Linked DNA regions of Canis lupus familiaris. The protein of the gene in region 4 purifies or fractionates together with the protein of the main gene of each other region. This does not show direct contact. Links are inferred from orthologs where the notes say so. Each region holds a gene or a part of one and is shown on either strand. Other genes may lie near its edges. The genes, in order: PPP1R9B, RAD51AP1, PHLPP2, WDR48 and ATAD5.

What was found.
Region 1: the proteins of WDR48 (region 4) and PPP1R9B purify together in Homo sapiens (affinity purification with mass spectrometry; 3 studies listed by BioGRID and IntAct, with this or other methods). This does not show direct contact. The link is inferred for Canis lupus familiaris from reciprocal best matches to the Homo sapiens genes WDR48 and PPP1R9B.
Region 2: the proteins of WDR48 (region 4) and RAD51AP1 purify together in Homo sapiens (affinity purification with mass spectrometry; 5 studies listed by BioGRID and IntAct, counting the BioPlex papers as one, with this or other methods). This does not show direct contact. The link is inferred for Canis lupus familiaris from reciprocal best matches to the Homo sapiens genes WDR48 and RAD51AP1.
Region 3: the proteins of WDR48 (region 4) and PHLPP2 purify together in Homo sapiens (affinity purification with mass spectrometry; 5 studies listed by BioGRID and IntAct, with this or other methods). This does not show direct contact. The link is inferred for Canis lupus familiaris from reciprocal best matches to the Homo sapiens genes WDR48 and PHLPP2.
Region 5: the proteins of WDR48 (region 4) and ATAD5 purify together in Homo sapiens (affinity purification with western blotting; 3 studies listed by BioGRID). This does not show direct contact. The link is inferred for Canis lupus familiaris from reciprocal best matches to the Homo sapiens genes WDR48 and ATAD5.

The regions. Positions count from the first base shown.
Region 1 is NC_049230.1:26,099,886-26,104,066, reverse strand, and holds the start of PPP1R9B (neurabin-2), read left to right. Parts: upstream 1-1,371; coding exon 1,372-2,787; intron 2,788-4,181. UniProt on the Homo sapiens protein: Seems to act as a scaffold protein in multiple signaling pathways. Modulates excitatory synaptic transmission and dendritic spine morphology. Binds to actin filaments (F-actin) and shows cross-linking activity. Binds along the sides of the F-actin.
Region 2 is NC_049248.1:5,749,468-5,753,583, forward strand, and holds the start of RAD51AP1 (RAD51-associated protein 1), read left to right. Parts: upstream 1-1,304; 5' UTR 1,305-1,379; intron 1,380-1,385; exon of another isoform or gene 1,386-1,466; 5' UTR 1,467-1,505; coding exon 1,506-1,522; intron 1,523-4,116. UniProt on the Homo sapiens protein: Structure-specific DNA-binding protein involved in DNA repair by promoting RAD51-mediated homologous recombination.
Region 3 is NC_049226.1:78,024,967-78,028,481, reverse strand, and holds part of PHLPP2 (PH domain leucine-rich repeat-containing protein phosphatase 2), read left to right. Parts: intron 1-182; coding exon 183-338; intron 339-2,754; coding exon 2,755-2,955; intron 2,956-3,515. UniProt on the Homo sapiens protein: Protein phosphatase involved in regulation of Akt and PKC signaling.
Region 4 is NC_049244.1:8,978,504-8,982,018, forward strand, and holds part of WDR48 (WD repeat-containing protein 48), read left to right. Parts: intron 1-2,808; coding exon 2,809-3,033; intron 3,034-3,515. UniProt on the Homo sapiens protein: Regulator of deubiquitinating complexes, which acts as a strong activator of USP1, USP12 and USP46. Enhances the USP1-mediated deubiquitination of FANCD2; USP1 being almost inactive by itself.
Region 5 is NC_049230.1:40,841,466-40,844,711, reverse strand, and holds the end of ATAD5 (ATPase family AAA domain-containing protein 5), read left to right. Parts: intron 1-172; coding exon 173-1,029; intron 1,030-1,640; coding exon 1,641-1,799; intron 1,800-1,902; coding exon 1,903-1,981; 3' UTR 1,982-2,737; downstream 2,738-3,246. UniProt on the Homo sapiens protein: Has an important role in DNA replication and in maintaining genome integrity during replication stress.

The DNA.
Region 1 (4,181 bases), on a different chromosome or scaffold from region 4:
CCTCCAGAATTCCTCCTCCCTGTTTGAGAGGCGAGTGCCCCCATAGGGGTGGAAGACAAGGATTCCACCCCTTCCCTGGCAGCCTGGGTGCAGAGTGGGCTGGCGACTGGACAACCCATTACAGGGTTCCAAAGGGCAAAGGCCAGCTTCGGGCCGCCACCTGGGGGGGGTATGAGGACCATTTCCTTTCTCCGTTCTCCTTCCTCCTCCACCACAAGGCCAGCAACACTGAGCGGAGCTTTCACACCTTAGAAGGTTGCAAAAGGTTCTCCACAAGAAATTGTTAAAATGCAGGTTCCTGGGCCGGCCTCTGAGATTCTGCTTCACAAAGTTTGGAGGAGGGCCCAGAAATCTGAATTTAAAAAATGTTTAAAGTGCCCAGCGATTTTGATGCCGATGGTCTTGAACCACACTAGAGAACTACAAGGACCATGAAGGAAATACTCCTGTGCCCCGCCCCCACGACTCTCCCTTCACGTTTGGGGTGAAGAGCCCCCCCCCCCCCCCGTGAGACCACTGCGGCTGGACCGCTTCCCCCAGTATTTGGTGGGGGCCTACTTTGGTGGGTCTGGGTAAGCCGCAGTCAGAGGTTGGGATGGAAGGGCTGAAGAGGACGGGCCGGGAGCGGGGGTCAGCGTCAGGCTGTCGGAGCGGGAGGGGCAGGGGAGGGGATACGGTCGGGAGGAGGGGAAGGGGAGGGCTCACAGACTCCAGCCCCGGAAATCCGATCCCTTTAGGACCCAGAGGTGCCAGTCCCCCAGCGGCGGCGGCGAGAAGGGCAGCCGCTCGGTGTCGGGCTGCCGCCGCTCGGGCAGAGCCAGAGAAAGACCGAGGCTCGGGGCGCGGGGGGGAGGGAGGGAGGGAGGGTGGCGCGGCGGCGGCGGAGCGGCCGGGGCCGGCCGAGCAGCCATGGGCGCCGGGGTGCCGGGCCCCCCGAGAGCCAAGGCCCCCGGCCGGGGTGGGGGACTCCCGGGCTGCCAGCCCCGCTGACACCGCCTCGGACGATGTGAGCCGGCGCCTCCGCCGCTGCTTCGCGGGCAGGGCGCGCGGTCCCACCGGCCCCGGCCGCCGCTTGTCGCGTTTGGGTGGGGGCGACCGCAGCAGGCCGCTCGGGCTCTGAACGAGGGGCCGGTGGCTGTGGCAGCTGGATTGGGGGAGGCGACCCACACAGGGCGCTCGGAGATTTTTTTCCCCTTTTTTTTTTTTTTAAGCGGGGTTAACTGTTTTTGGCAGCCTGGTTGGGGGGAGCCTACAAAAGGCCTTCCGGGGTTTCTTTTCTCGGGGGGAGGGGGCGGTGGTCCCGACTTGGCCAGCCGCCTGTCGGAGGGGGGGAGCGGGAAGCGAGGGGATGCGCCCCCGCCTCCCCCCACCATGATGAAGACGGAGCCGCGGGGGCCCGGGGGTCCCCTCCGGAGCGCCTCCCCGCACCGCAGCGCCTACGAGGCGGGCATCCAGGCGCTGAAGCCGCCCGACGCGCCCGGGCCCGACGAGGCGCCCAAGGCGGCCCACCACAAGAAATATGGCTCCAACGTCCACCGCATCAAAAGTATGTTCCTGCAGATGGGCACGACGGCGGGGCCGCCGGGCGAGGCGGGCGGCGGCGCGGGCCCCACCGAGGCCCCGCGGGCGCCCGAGCGCGGCGTGCGCCTGTCGCTGCCGCGGGCCAGCAGCCTCAACGAGAACGTGGACCACAGCGCCCTGCTCAAGCTGGGCACCAGCGTGTCGGAGCGCGTGAGCCGCTTCGACTCCAAGCCCGCGCCCTCGGCGCAGCCCGCGCCGCCGCCGCACCCGCCGTCCCGGCTGCAGGAGACGCGGAAGCTGTTCGAGCGGAGCGCCCCGGCGGCCTCGGGCGGCGACAAGGAGGCCGCGGCGCGGCGGCTGCTGAGGCAGGAGCGCGCCGGCCTGCAGGACCGGAAGCTGGACGTCGTGGTGCGCTTCAACGGCAGCACCGAGGCGCTGGACAAGCTGGACGCCGACGCCGTGTCGCCGACGGTCAGCCAGCTCAGCGCCGTCTTCGAGAAGGCCGACTCGAGGACCGGCCTGCACCGCGGCCCGGCGCTGCCCAGGGCCGCGGCCGCCGGGGCCCCGCACGCCGGCTCGAAGCTGGTCAGCAGGCGGTCCCGCGTGTTCCAGCCGCCGCCGCCGCCGCCGCCCGCCCCGTCGGGGGATGCGCCGGCCGACAAGGAGCGCGGCCCCGGCCCCGGCCCCGGCCCCGGCCCCGGCCCCGGCCCCGGCGGGCAGCAGCCTCCGCAGCACCGGGTGGCCCCTGCCCGGCCGCCCCCCAAGCCCCGGGAGGTGCGCAAGATCAAGCCGGTGGAGGTGGAGGAGAGCGGGGAGTCGGAGGCCGAGGCGGCGCCCGGGGAGGTGATTCAGGCGGAGGTGACGGTCCACGCGGCCCTAGAGAATGGCAGCGCCTTGGCAACCACTGCCAGCCCCGCGCCCGAGGAGCCGCAGAAGGCCCAGGCGGGCCCCGAGGAGGCCGCGGCCACCGTGGCGGCGCCCGAAAGAGCGCTGGGCGACGGCCGGGCCCCGGACGTGGCCCCTGAGGAGGCGGATGAGTCCAAGAAGGAGGACTTCTCGGAGGCGGACTTGGTGGACGTGAGCGCCTACAGCGGGCTGGGGGAGGACTCCGGGGGCAGCGCCCTGGAGGAGGACGACGAGGAGGACGAGGAGGACGGCGAGGCCCCCTATGAGCCCGAGTCGGGGTGCGTGGAGATCCCGGGGCTCTCGGAAGAAGAGGACCCGGCCCCGAGCCGGAAGATCCATTTCAGCACGGCGCCCATCCAAGTGAGTGAGCCCCCTCCCCGCCCCCGCCCCCGCGCCGCCCCTGCCACGTGCACGCCTCGCCCCCGCCTCGCCAGCCCGCCAGCCAGCCGGGTTTGGCAGGCTGAGTCAGCCCCTGCCACCCAGCCCCCTTCCCAGAAGTTACCACCCGGAGGGGGGCGTGGGGGACTTCCAGCTGTTTGTCAGAGGGCGGCCTGCCCCGACCTGCCCTCAGGTTCCTCTGCCTGCAGCCTCGCCCTGGCTGCCCTGGCTGCCCTGGCCGCCCTGGCTCGGCCGCACCTGCATCCTGGGACACCTGCTTCCCCTTCCTCTCCCAGGCACTCTTCCTCCCAGAGGCCGCCCGAGGCTCTTGGGGGCTTGGGTGGTGGGAAGTGTGTGTCTGTGTGTGTGTGTCCTCAGGAGACCCTCCCCACTTTGCTCCTGACCCCACTGGGCGGGAGAGGACCAAGAGCTTAGAAACACCCCCCTGCACTCCCCCTAGAGAGGAGGGAGAAGCCAAGAACTTCCTAAAAGAAGGTGAGGTGTAGGGGACCACAGTCCTCCTGCATCCTGTCTGTAGCCCCCACCCCAAAGTTTGCAGAAGTGAAAGAGGGAAGCAGGTCTTTGAGGGTGAGCTAGGCTGGGGCCATGTGACTCAGGGTGGGGGGAAAGGCCTAGTCTGGCGCTGGGGCCCTGTTCCCTGGGGTCTGTGCTGGGCCAGCTGGGGAGGTGGAGGTGTTGGGCAGGGAGCAGGTGCCTGGCCTGGCCCGTGAGGGGGCTGGGCCTTGGGCGGGACACCGAAGAGAGGGGGTGGGAGCTGGGAAAGCCCCCAGGGCCCTGGCAGCTGCCCACATGTCTTTGCTCTTGGCTGCTGGGTAGGGCACACTCCCATGGCCTTGGCAAACCCCAAGCCCTCTTGCCACATTCTCCGGGTGCCCTGAAAGAGGGATGGGAGCTGCCCTTCAGCACCCCCATCCCTGCCACCACGCTTGTGATTGGTTTGTGGCTGGTGCCAGTGCCCTGAGATCCTCAGAACAGTGCCAACAGGAGTGGTGGGGACATCCCCGGGAAGAATTAAGAGCCCTTGGTCACCTCCTCCCTTCCTGCCACTCCAGTCTTGGCTGGCACATGCAGCCTAGCTGGCCCTATTCTCAGGCTCAGCTGTGCCCAGCACTAGATCCACTGCAGGGGGCTGTCCAGGGCCTGGACCCTGTCTTTACCCCTCCAGAGCCAAGCCCTCATCTCTTTGCTCAAAGTTTCTGTAACTGGTCCTGGACTCTGAGGCTGCCCATGTTTCCTCCCAGCCCTCCTAGAATATCAGTGGCCCCTCTCCCACCTCTCACCCCAGCTGAGGCCTGAAAGGTGCTACTCCCAGGCCAGCCCTCCCCCTTCTGAGGCTTCGACCTTACAAGTCTTTC
Region 2 (4,116 bases), on a different chromosome or scaffold from region 4:
CTCACTGGACTCCATCTCTATGCTTTTCATCATCAAATCAGTTTTCACAGTATTCTCTATGCTGAAGTTACAGTAATCTTTCCAAAGAGCTTATTTGATTATATTGCTCATCTGCTTAAAGCCTTTTGATCATATTCCATTGCTCTCGGGACAAAATTCAAACCCCTTTACCCAGTGTACAATGCTTCTGTCTGTATTTCGAGGCCTCCCCCCCAACACCTACACCCCTCAACACCCCAACACACAAACCATTTTCCAGGCAAAAACCTTTCTTTCCACTTCCCACCTTTTTGAATGCTTTTTCTTTGCCTAGAGCAGCACTCTTACTGCTTTTCTTTCCTTGGATAACAACCACTCAGGTTCTTCAGGTCTCCGCATAGATGGGCACCGGGGAGTCTTTTAATTTGTGGGATTGTCATAAGGATTAATAGAATGACAGATATGAAACGTCTGACAAAAAAAGATGATCAACAGATTGAAAACTAGTAATAATAAAAGAAGTTCTCTAAGAACTTAACAAAAAAAAAATCGCAGATTGCTGATTGAGTACACATGATGAAGACAAAAGCAGTAAAGGAACACCGTAAAAGGGGACTGAAACTTACGGATAAATAGGTTTATGATCTAATCTTGTTTAGATTCAATATTTCCGATCCACAAAAACCATTAGCTCCGGTTTCAAACGGTTCAAGATTTAAATTTATGGTCTGAAACTTTAGTTCCCTCTCCCCACTTTTTTTTTTTTTTTTTTTTTTTTTAAGCAGGGGTGAAATTAGGAAAGGTTTCCCAGGCAAACTGGGGACGGGAGGAGGAGAGAGCTGGACAGAACTCCTGCGGCCAACAGGGTGCGGGTTCTGCGTGCAGGAAGGGGAGGGCAGGCTGCCAGCGCGAGAAACTCCGGCCGAGGGGGAACACCCGCTCCACTAGGCGGGTTCGGTCTGAACGGGCTTCCTCGCTTTGGGTTCTGGGCTCACCTTCCGGTTCCGAAGCCCCGCGCGGGCTGCACACTCGGAGCTGTCAAGGAGCTGCGGCGCAGGGAACATCAGCTGACTTACTCGCCTATCTGTGGGCTGTAAAAACTGCTTCAGCAGATTCGCCCGTACCTTTTCCTCTTTCCCGGCACTCTGTAGAAAATTCCTCGGCCTCAGTGCCCCCTTTTTCCATAACGCCCCAATGTAATCATGTAAAAAATGTAAAAAAGGTGTATTTCTACTGTTATTATGAATCTCAGAGAAGGCGTAAAAAAAAAAAAAATTCACTGTCGTGGCGAAAGTTGCAGCGGCAAAGCAGAGACTCGGCTTTGGGAGAACGGATGCGGAAGGGCAGTGCCTTGGGCACGGCGTCCTCTCAGAGCGCATGCGCAGCGGCAAGGATGGCCGGTAATCATTGGACGGCTGGGGGCTGGGGGCGGAGAGCGTCTGGGTCTGGTTTTGCGCGGGAATTGAAACCGCCACTCCTGCCAACAGGAACTTGAAAGCTGCGAGTTTTCCGTCGCGGAGGCGACCATGGTGCGTCCTGTGAGGTGAGTAGTTCATGACAGCAGCGAGGACCGGGGAGAAAAGGCAGGAGGAAGGTGTAGGGAGCTTCGTCTGCACACGATTGGGTGGAAAGGGCCGGATAGAGCCGAGGGTAGCGCGGGTGGGATGGGGTGGACGGTTTCTGGGAAGCTCTCGGGTCTCCACCGAGAGTCGCCGAATCCGCAGAAGCATCCGGCGTACCAGCCTTTCCTTCTCTTTGCCTCCCTTCACAGCTATTGCGGATTCTTTGACCCGCTCCATTGAAATAAGCCCTGGTCGTGTTAGCACTCGAATGGCGCTTTACATTTCGCCGAGCGCCTACTTAGGTGTCATTTCAAATTTTCTTTTCTTTCTTTTCTTTTTTTTTTTTTTTTTTTTTAGCAGTTTAGGTATCCCTATTTTTGATCTGTTTAGAGTACTAGGCGTAAAGGCCAAGCTAGCCGAGTCGCACAGCTACTGAGTGGCAGGATAACACACCCAAATCCTCGGCTCCGGATCCCCCTGCTTTCCGTTATACCATTTGAAACCATTCTTGTGCTTAACCACGGTGGAGTGCTATGGAGGCCTAGAGTCAGCCATTCACTGGGAAAGTTGCTCGGTGTATATACTTCTATACTGTGCTGCTGGTGACTGGTTACATCCTAGTCAAGGGTGCGGTGAGGGGCCGCAAAGAAATACTGCAAAGTGATAGAGAGTGAGCAGAAGGAGAGCCTTACTTTAAAAAGTGTCGTTAGGGTGTGCCTCTCTGCAAAGGTAAGACGTGATCTGAGACATGAATCCTGAGAAGGAGCTTGCCAGGGAAAATCTGGCTCTGAGCTTGACTGTTGGAGAAACTGGAAGAAGGCCACTGAAGCTGTAGCATTAGCAAGCAGTGGGAGGAATTGTAGCGGATTAGGGCACATAGGCAGGGGCCAGAGTAGGGAGGACCTTGTAGGCTTTAGGAGGAGGAAAGCTGGACAGAGCTCCTGCCGAGTTTGGATTTTATCCTACGGACAATGGGAAGTCAACGGAGAGTTTTAAGTAGAGCAGACAGCTCTAATTTTGGTTTTATAAAATTCACTGGCTCCTGGTGGAGAAAGAATGGAAGATGGGGTAACAAGAATGGGAACAGGGAAACCGCCTTATCATTTGGGTAGTGGGTTGGAATAGAGTGTTACCAGTGGACATGGAATGGGGCAGATGAATTTGGGATGTATTTTGGAGATACTGCTGACAGACCTTGCTGATGAAGTGAATGTGGAGGTAAGGGAGAAAAAGAATCAAGGATGACTTCACAGTATTTTTAGCCTGAGCTACTTGAATGGATGATCTTTTTATTTTTTTTATTTATGATAGTCACACACAGAGAGAGAGAGAGGCAGAGACACAGGCAGAGGGAGAAGCAGACTCCATGCACCGGGAGCCCGACGTGGGATTCGATCCCAGGTCTCCAGGATCGCGCCCTGGGCCAAAGGCAGGCGCTAAACCGCTGCGCCACCCAGGGATCCCAATGGATGATCTTTGTACTAACCGAGGTGGGGAAGACTAGGAAAGGAAATAGATTCAGGAGATGTGGGGGATCAGAAGTCCCATTTTGAGCACATGAAGTCTGAAATTTATTTTAAACACCCAAGTAGCAAAGACATAATCCCCTTGTCTGCAATAGCAGTTGTCAAAATACTGCAGACCCTTAGGGTTCCTGAAACCCTCTAACCAAGGGAAAAAAAAAAAAAAAAAAAAGAGCCAGTTTCACTTAAGAATGTGATGTTGATGAAGCAGTAAGAAATCTCATATTCATTATAGGTCAACTGTTGAGCATACTTCTTTTTAAAGTTTTTATTATATTTTACTATTATTCAGTTTCAGTTTTTAAAGGGGTTTTCATATTTTATTCAGCTTTCAAATTCTTTAAAGAGTAGGAGAGTAACAAGAGTACTCTTCATTTGAATATTCCATATGAGGAAATGAAATGTAAAACATAAACTACTTCTACAGTGGTTGTCTTCAGAAAAAGCACTTGTGAGATTGAGTTGGGAACTGACCTCTTTTTTCATAGAACACCATTCTGCTTGAAAGAACAACTGGCCTACTAGGTTATTCACACTTGGGTACTTGGCAGAAGGTAGAAAAGAAAACCACATTTAGCGCCTAGAGGAAGGGAGAAGAAAGTGAGTTTATTTTCTCCAGTTTAAATATCACTTTTTTTTTTTTTAAGATTTTATTTATTTATTTGAGAGAGAGAGAGAGGACGAGCACGGGGAGAGGCAGAGAGGGGAGGGGAGGGGAGAAGCAGGCTCCCTGCCCTGGGGCTCAATCCCAAGACCCTGGAATCATGACCTGAGCCAGACACTTAATGGCCTGAGCCACCCAGGCACGCCAAATATCACTTTCTTCTAATGGCTCTCTAAAGTAATAGAAAGATTTGTTTCAGATGGTAGGTACAAAGTCATTCATCATTGTTTCAGTGTCTATACCATAAAGAACTTTGGTATTGTGGGGAGAGTAAAAATGAGAGGAAAATAGCTTTCAGTTTGTTCAAGTTTATAATCTTTAATAGGACGACAGAATGCACATACAAAACAAGAGAATACATAAACAGGAATTTATAAATGCCCCACAG
Region 3 (3,515 bases), on a different chromosome or scaffold from region 4:
TGGTGGGTGGTGGATAAGCATATGGTCATGGCCGCTCTGTTGGCCCAGGTGCTTGCCAGTGATTAGACTGTCTAGAATATGCTGCTGTTAGTTTACTCATTTCAGGGAGGTGGCCAAGGACAGACTCAGAAAGAATGATTTAAGTAAGTTTTTCATTTATTTCTTTGTACTGTTTCCCTTAGAATCCTTAGTAGCTTGAGTCTTAGGAAGCTGACAGTGGCACACAACCAGCTGCAGAGCCTGCCCATGCTGGTGGAGCACATCCCTCTGGAAGTGTTGGATATTCAGCATAACTTACTCACCAGGCTGCCAGATACTCTCTTCTCCAAGGCCTTAAAGTAAGTGCCACCAAGTTTATTTAGAGGAGAGAATCATTGGTGCAACCAACTATACTGACTGGTCATTGGAGTGATCTTTGGAACTATATTCACATTGTTTGCCTCTTGGTCCAACTGTGTGTGGGTGGAGACTGACTTATATGAGTAATTTATAGGAAATAAAAGATGACACTGTTGGATGAGGCAATAGTCTTTGACTCAAAAGTTGCAATAACCATCAAATACTTAAGTTTTAATGTTATAGACAGTTTTCGAGCAGGTTGGGAAATTTCAAACAGGCTTTCATCTCCAAAAATGAATACATTCATGGCCTCGTAAAAAATAATTACAGCATTCTGATAAAGCTTTCTTGGGCGATTTTTAGCTTTTGCATTTGGGGAAAGAGGACAGACGTATCACTAAAGTTAATTTATTTTTGCTTCTTGCTTTGTTTACCAAGCTATCATCAAGTTACATTCTTAATGTGCAGTGTTTTTTTACTACCTGGTTTGAAAACTGAGCATTTAAAGGAAACATTGTTCCAAAGGTGTTTGTGTTCTCATTGTGAATTAACCAATAGATAGTGTGTCTTCCTATTACTTCCTATAACCAGATTTATCTCATGCATATGTCACCATTAAGTGAAAACTAGTTTTAATTATAGTCTTCTGCAATAGGGAGAAGGTAATATTATCTTCAGTTTAAAAATGGAGAAAACAGAGATAAGCAGTAGTAATTTAACATAAGACTACAGGATATATACAAAAAGCATGTAGCTCACAGGTGTCTGGCATGTTCTTTGGCAGCTTATGTATCTCTTAATGTATAATATACTTGGTTGGATTTTCCTAAAAGTAGAATCTTTGGAAATTTTAGAAAATATTTGAGGGAAATTTTCTTTTTGGAAAGTTTATACGGGATCTTAATGCAGTAACATTTAACTTGGTAACTAACAAGTATTTGTTAGTAATGTATAACACTGCCTTTAGGCCCCCCCCCCTTTTTAATTTTGAGAGGGGGGTTAGGGGCAGAGGGAGAGAATCTTAAGCAGGCTCCATGCCCAGCATGGACTTTATCTCACAACCCTGAGATACTGACCTGAGCTGAAATGAAGAATTAGATGCTTAATTATCTGAACCACCCAGACACTCTCTTTTTACTTTTCTTTCTTTCATTTTTTTTTTTTTTTACATACTATTTTAAGGAATCTCCACACCCAATGTGAGGATTGAACCCACAACCCCAATATCAAGACTGAGTCACCCAGGCATCCTTTTGTGTGTGTGTGTGTGTGTGTGTTTTAAGTTTTTATTTTTAAGCAATTTCTATACCTAACATGGGGCTTGAACCCACAGCCCCAGAATCAAGAGTCACACACACCACAGACTGAACCAGCCAGGTGTAGTTCTTTATTTTTCACTGCATTTATTTCTAATGATAGCCTGAATAAAATTAGTTTATAACCTTATAATTTTTAGTAAGGAAGCTACTTAGTAGCTGTAGCAAACTATCAATGAAACTAATCTAATACTAACTGCCCAGAACACTTTTGGGACACACACACACACACACACACACACACACGTAAATAGTACCCTCAACAGCTAAAAAGCTAATGAGGGATGTGAATCACATAATATTAAGAAGACTTAAGAGCACACAAGGTTAATAATAATAGCTATCTTTTATTGAGCATATTCACATATACCAAACACCATGCTATGCAAAATTTTTAAATCATACCATATTTTACCTGTTAGATTGGCAGAGATTAAAATGAAGTATTAAGTATGATACTTAGCTTTGACAGAAGATTGAGCAAACATTCTTATATTATGCTTGTGGAAGGTATAACTTGGAATAGCCTTTCTGGGATTCAGTTTGATAATATTTATATATACAAATCTTAAAGATAAATGTACTTTTGACCCTACAAATTCTGCATCTGGGAATATAACCTAAAGGAATAATTAGATAAGGACACAAAGTTGTTCATCACAATGTCTGTAATAGTAAATAGTTGCCAACAGCCTATATGCTATTGTCTGCAGACTATAAGTGGATTGGCTAAATAAATATGATCCTGCTAAAGTTAGACAAAAACTTTTCTGAAAGGTGCCTTCACAAGTGAGATATTAGTGAACATGACATTCAACAATTCTGTGCACAGTAGACAGTAAAAGAGGACACTAGCTTAGAATCAGACCACTGCAAAAGCCTGGGAACACAAACAAGCCTGAATTCTTTCCTCTCTGCTTCAATTGCATGAGTTGAATAAAGGAACTTTGGTTGGGTGGATAGAATCAATTAGAGAAAAAATCCTGGAGGAAATTACTTGTCATAAGTTTGGGAGTATGAAATGGCAGTGTCCTGTACTGAGATAGTATGATGGTAACAACCGTAAAGGAAATGGTGATTTGTGTATGTGTTCTGTCAGTCTCAGATACTTGAATGCATCTGCAAACAGTCTGGAATCTTTGCCATCTGCTAGTGCTGGAGAGGAGAGTCTGAGTGCTCTGCAGCTGCTCTATCTGACCAACAACCTTCTGACAGACCAGTGTGTGCCCGTTCTGGTGGGGCACCCGCACCTGCGAATCTTGCATCTTGCGAACAACCAGCTACAGACCTTTCCTGCAAGGTAAGCAAATGCAGACACTGGTCATTTCGGATACACAGCATGAAATCTGCATTTGCCAGTCTCCATTACAGTTCTCTTTCTGGATCCTCTTGCTTTATGTTGAGCAGCTTGGTGGTGCTATGATTCCACTAGTTGAATGAAGAAAATCTATACCCAGTTGATTATCAGTAACCAGAGAAATGGTAGCTAAAATGCATTTAATTCTTTGTTACAATGATTTAATAATAGTCTGAGAATTTTCAGCCTAGAAAACTACAAGCTTAAGAAATGCATTTTGAAAACAATTTTTTCTTTTCCCTTGTCAACACTGTTTTATGATATACTGTTGAGTCCATTAATTTATTCATTATATATATGTTTTTGAACACCTACTGTATGTCAAGTACTGGAAAAACAGTGGTGGTTAGGTTAGCAGTCTCTGTCCTCAAATAAGGTACAGTCAAATTGGGGAAATAGACAAGTCACAGGCAATTACAGTGCAGTGTAATAAATGCAGAATGTTAAAGATACAAAGGTAGCTAGCTGCACTGCACAGGGCCTAGGGCTGGGGTTGGCCTTCC
Region 4 (3,515 bases):
TATGAGAGAAATAATTAATCGTTGTTGGACCAGAGTATGTACTATATCCCTCAGAGTTGCCCTGCAAGCTTCTAATAATGTAGGATTTCTGATGACATTGGAAGTCAGGGACTTGTGATAAGATATGTCTAATAGACCAGTGAATCCCATGGACATCTCCTTCCTTTGTTGTATTGTTATTTAGCAAATCTTACCGTTTGAGATCTATTGCCACTGCAGTTGTTTTGATTGGTGCCAACATTTCCGGGACAAGCCACATGACATTTCGTCCTTTGTACTTGCTCAGGCAATTGCTTGAGGAACTGGGATAATCTGTTGTTTTGGTTGAGCCAGTGACATCCTTGTGTGTCCCTCACAGGGTTTTCCTGTAACTGAAGTCCTGCTGAACCTAGCTTAAAGTCTAGGGGTCTAGGGCACCTGGGTGGCTCGGCCGGTTAAGCATCTGCCTTCAGCTCAGGTCATGATCTCAGGGTCCTAGGATTGAGCCCTTCATCAAGCTCTCTGCTCAGCAGGAAGCCTACTTCTCTCTCTCCCTCTTCCTGCCGTTTCCCCTGCTTATGCGTGTGCACACACTCTCTCTCTGTCAAATAAATAAAATCTTTATTTAAAAAAAAAAGTCTAGGGGTCTTTAAGCAATCAGGTTACTCCTTGCCCCAGCTTACCTTGCCCTCTTGGCTCCTGTGTATTGGCAGTCACAATTGTGTATAAGTGACCATCCCAGAAACATGTATGTTGGTCATAGCAGCCAGGCCTCAATACACTGTCCCCTCTCATTTCTTTTATTTTTTTTTTAAGATTTTATTTTATTATTTATTCATGAGAGAAACAGAGAGAGAGAGAGGCAGAGACACACGCAGAGGGAGAAGCAGGCTCCATGCAGGAGGCCCGACATGGGACTCGATCCCAGGTTTCCAGGATCAGGCCCTGGGCTGAAGGCAGCGCTAAACCGCTGAGCCACCCGGGCTGCCCTCCCCTCTCATTTCTATTGGCAAAAGCACAACAACCTGATCAGGACTGTAGACTCTGTGCCTCTGAGTCTTGTGTAGCAGAACCATTCAGGGCCTTCCATCCTAGTTCTAAGAATTACCTCCTAATGATAGCGTCTTCACGTTTATCCAGTGGAAGGGTGGAGGTAGTGGGAAATGTTTGATGATTACTCTAGGTCCTACAGGGTAGTAGGCACTCTTTCCTATTAAATAGGCACATCCTTCAACTGTACTACCAAATGCTGCAAAGAAGTTTACCAGCATTGTACTTTAAAAGTAATTATTGTCTACTTCAGGGCCTGCTTTTTAGCAGATTTAGAATACAATTACGATCAGAGATTATTTTGTTCAGTATCAGAGTTGATACAGCTCTGTGTCCCCTTATCTGCTTTCAGCTTATGCTTTTGGGTTTGGGACTTCCTTGCTGCAACTTGCCCAAGCTATGAGGACTTCCAACCCATCACCTTAGCTTTCCTTATCCTAAATTTGTCAGACCTTACTCCTGTAGATTCATGGCCTAGAATCTGAGGGATCAAGGATATGCTAACAGCTTTGCCACCTCAGAGTAGCAGCTCTTCCTGGAAGTGGGAGCCCCTCCTTGCCCTCTCTCCATCAGATTGCAGGGGTCCTTCCACAGACATGTTGGAGGGCTGCTTGTAACTTACTGCTTGTAACTTACTCCAGGCAGTTCTTTGTTGCTTAGGCTCTTGGTTGCCTTGTAAACCAGTTGGAAGAGGGTAATAAAACACTGATGCTCCTGGCAACTTACAGGGGGTGTCTCCTAGTGGTTGTTCGTTTAATTAAACACGTCCAGAGTTCTAAAGGCCCCTTCCAGTCACACGTCATACCAGTAAATCTTAATATTCTTGAAGACCTCATCTATTGAAACGCTTTGCAAATCTCCAAGCCCACAACTAACTTCTCATCTTTGAAGCGCTTTGCCTACTTAATTTCATACATCAGCAGTTACTTCTTCTTGAGGCCATTTTTTCCCCAGAGAAGTAAGTTTTTATTCTCTTCTGCAAGTCACCACGGTAACTGGCAGTGAACACCAGGCATGCTGAGTGTGAATGTGGGGTGGCTGATTTAGCCTCTTTCTCTTGGACTCATAGTGTGCTCGGCCCTAATTTGAGTGCCAGCAACTTCTGTGTAGTTGTGTCAGCTCCTGAGCCTTTAGAAAGTGTCAGAATCACTAATGTTAACTCTAAATGCTGATGGTCCACATTTTATATTAATAGATGTTGAACTTGAGGCTCAGATGGGAAGTATCCAAGGTCACAAATAGGGAGTGGTAAGCCTGGGACTAGATGTTCCTGCTGCCTCCTCTATTTGTAGAATCTCAGGGACCTGGGAGGCCATCAGGAATCCATTGCCATGCGGAGGGGATGAGACACAGGTATGACCCAGGCCTTTAAAAGGCTTGTGGCCTGTTGCAAAGCTTGTTGACCTTAGCATACCAGAATGACCTGGAGAGCCTATCACAATACAAATTGCTGGGGCCCACCAGAATTTCTGCCTCCTTAGGTTGAGAATCTGCATTTTTACAAGTTCCCAGGTGAAGCTGATTCTACATGTGGCCAGGTGGAGAGGACAGCGGCAGTTTTGCTCAGACTTTTCCCCTGCTTGAGCATACACTGTTGCCTTTGGTCATTTCAGCCAAAGTGCATGCTTTTCAGAAGTCTTTATCTGAGGTAGAAATGCAGGTTGTTAGAGGTGTGTGTTTGACAGTGTAGAGTCAGGAGAGGCACCAAGGGCAGAGCACAGCAAAGCAGGAACTTTCTGGCCAGAACTTTCTCTCACTTTAACTTTTCTCTGCTTTCAGTGCCTTTCCGGCAGTTCTGATGGGACAATTCGCCTTTGGTCCCTTGGCCAGCAGAGATGTATAGCAACATACCGAGTCCATGATGAAGGTGTCTGGGCTCTGCAAGTCAATGACGCCTTCACGCACGTGTATTCTGGAGGAAGGGACAGGAAGATTTATTGTACAGACCTTAGAAACCCTGACATTCGGGTACTAATTTGTGAAGAAAAAGCACCAGTTCTCAAGGTATGTCCTATATTTTAGTTTTGTGGTTAAAACTGTTACGTGTACCAGCCAAATCCAGCAAAATCTGTATTAAAACAGGAATCAGTTGTGGAGTTACAGATAAAAGAATATATTTAGATTTTTATTAGTTACCTGTAGAAGAAATTGTGACTTCTTGGGTACCTCAGAGACCAGTAGCTGTCCCACTAGCAAATCCTAGTGCAATTGCCCCACATTGCTCCTGAACTCACCTGGCTTTCCTAACCTGTCTTTAATGAAGGAATATGATAAGTTCAGGTATCTGTAAGCAGACAACACTCAACTTGAGTGAGCAGAGCAAAGCACGAGTGTGTCCACTGCTTCAAGAGGGAGGATGTGGAAGAGTGATTCAAAAGAAGAGAGAACCAAGCCAGCTCATACTCCGAAGGGTTCCTATCTCAGAGTAGTCCCGATTGCTAAATCAACATCTACTGTGTAGGGTGAAAGGGTACTTGAAAAGCCAT
Region 5 (3,246 bases), on a different chromosome or scaffold from region 4:
GTTTTTAGACTCAGAACTATTTTGATGAATTAAGGGAGCATACGTCAATAAAATTATGAGAGGGTAGCAACTCATTACTTTTAAGATAGAATAAGGATGCCACTATATTCATATAGGTAGGAAAACATTCAGACTATGTTCTAACACTTCTTCACTCAAAATTGTTTTTCAGCACAAAATCAGAACAAAGGAAGAATGTCATCAGTTCATCCAGCTTCTTACAGAATTCCGAATGCAGAATGTAGATTTCTTACATAGTAATCTTGAGTTCATTCTACCACTACCTGTTAATATCATTCCAGAAACAGAAAACTTCTATGGTTCATCAGTAAGTGTGGACAGCAGTACAGCAACAAAACATATGAAATGTCTTGCTAGGAAACATTCTGAAGGAGAGAAGCCATTGAAAAAGCCACAAAAAAAGAAACAAAAGAAAAAGATGGAAATTCTAGATGATAGCGACTTGTTTGACACCGAATTGGATTTCTCTAATGAATTTCTTAGCCGTTCTCCTGCATCTTCCTCAAATTCAGAAGACAGCAAAGCCAGAGACAAAGAAAGCAATCCAGATGTAAAGAAACTGAACAAATGTTTAGAGTCTAACACGGAATCTATTCCTTGTCCTAAAACACCAGCAGAAAAAAAATGTTCTGCCCTTGTTTCTCACTGTTTAAATTCTCTCACTGAGTTCATGGATAACATGTCCTTCTTAGATGCTCTTTTAGTTGATGTAAGAGAACAAAAGGAATTTGGTAAAAATGACTTTAGTTGGACAAATGTTAAAAGCGGACTTTGTGATGAATTTAGTCTCGAGACTAGTGATGGATGGACTTCTCAGAGCTCTGGAGAATTAAAGGCAGCTATAGAAGCACTCAGCTTTACTAAATGTTCATCTACTATTTCGAAAGCACTGGAAACCTCCTTGAATTCTTGCAAGAAATCAGGAAGAGATCCAACTAAAGAGCTTACTCTCTCCATTTCACAAAAGCGCAACAATGTATACTTTAGTCAGTCAGCAGCTAATTTAGAGTAAGTCATCCTTTAACTTGTTTTTTCAATAACAGATGATAAAGAGGAAATTATTCATTTCTTTTTACTAATTTTGAAATGCTGGGCTTTATTGATCCCAGGTTAAACACTTAATATTGGGGCGCCTGGGTGGCTCAGCGGTTGAGTGTATGCCTTTGGCTCAGGGCGTGATCCCAGGATTCCGGGATCAAGTCCCACATTAGGCTCCTATGGAGCCTGCTTCATCCTCTGCCTGTGTCTCTGCCTCTCTCTGTGTCTTGTGAATAAATAAATAAAATCTAAAAGAAACAAACACTTAATAATGTAGCTTCTAATAAGACAGGGAGACCAGCCTGATGGTTAGGAAGAAAAACGAGATATTAGAAGACTCTTGAATAACAGGGAATGGGGTTTGGATATGCTTGGGGCAGATGGTGGGGTAGCCATTAAAGATTCTTTTGGTATGGGAGTGACTGTGTTGAAAATGATATAGGAAAAAAAAAATACGGGAAGTTAACCTGGAATCTGGTTAATCTAGTCTTAAGAAAGACTAGAAACTGGTTATATTTGGGATTGCTGCATTTTTCTTGGGCATTAAAAATAAAAAGTAATGCATTACTTTTAATTTACAGCAGTGCCTGGAAGAGGATAGCAGTCATTAAAAGTGTATTTTCTAGCAGATCTCTTCTAAACCTGGGTAACAGACAAGCTAGTATAACTGAGTACTTGCCAACTCTTCGGAACATTTGTAGGACTGAGAAGCTAAAAGAACAAGGAAAAAATAAAAGAAGGTAAAGGCGCTATATAAATAACATTATATATAGCTATTTGAAGATTAATAAATATTCTCATCTGATTCTTAAAAATTGCATTTTTCCTTGTAATTTTTGACAGGTTCCTGCACTATCTTGAAGGGATTCATCTTAACATTTCGAAAGAGACTGTGAACACTCTGGCAGCTGGCTTCCCTTAACATCTACATTACCAATGCCTTGTACAGATTATTATGTGTTCCTCAAGATACATTTTTATATTGATCTTCATGGAAGAATTTATTTCTCTTAATGTACATTTAAAAAAGGACTATTTGTATATTATTAGTGTGCAAATATTTAAAGTGAAAAAATTTGAGTCACAAATTGTATTTATGATTGTGGTGATTTTTTTTTTTTTTTCTGAAACTTTTTGTATTGGTTTAGTGTTGTTGTATTTTTGTGTGAGTGAGCTGTTCTGGAAGGTAGAATTCACTAAATATTTCTAAAGGTGTTGCACTGTTAATCTGTAATTTTTCTTTCCTGTTTATTTTAACCCACCTCTCTCCAGCCTGTCAGTACTCTGTCAAGTTGTATATATGAATCATCTAGGAGATAATCTAGTTTACACAATACAAAATTATGTAATACATAAAAACTTCCTAGGGAAGAAATTATGCATCATTTTTCAAAAAGTACCATCTTCCCAATAAGTTTATTTTTAGTGTATTCCTCCAGCATATTTTACCATTGAATCATTGAATATTGACAAAGTGAAAACAAGATTATGAATTGTCATTTTCATAAATCCTTTTTAGCAACCATACATGTGATATCTTGTATATTTTGCCAACTCACATCATTTGCTTGTACATTTTTTGTATTTTTATATCAGTATTTTATTTCATAAAGATATTAATGGTGTTAATATATCTATTTTGGACAAACTGCTTATTCATTAAAATTGTAACAAAGGATTTTACTATATGAACTTTCTACATCATAGCCATTTCCACTTCAGGTTGGTTTTGGAGAAAGTGTGTTTTTTTAATTACAAGATCTTTAAATCCCACATTTTACTTCAAATCATTTTTGCTATTGCATAATCAGGTATATCTGAAAATAGTTTCCTATTTTAAGTGTTTATATTTATTAGCCTAGAATTCAGTTACATTATCTGGTGAATTATATATTTACCTCAAAGGTAAGGATCCTAATTTTGTACAGATGGAAAATACTGATGTGTATACCTGTTTACAAATGTGTATGAAAGATATGTTTTACCTCTTATTTGTTCAGTCTACTTTTTCATTGATAGTATGTTGATTTAATTAAAGGTTACAGGTTTTGCTCTTGTACAAAAGAAGAGATCTGAAGTTTTGTGGGTTTTTAAGTATATGAATTTTTTTTCTGTTGCATACTAGCATTCACTATTTGTAGAGGACTTACCTGTTAATTTGGTCTTACTAGAAAATTCTGGTAATTC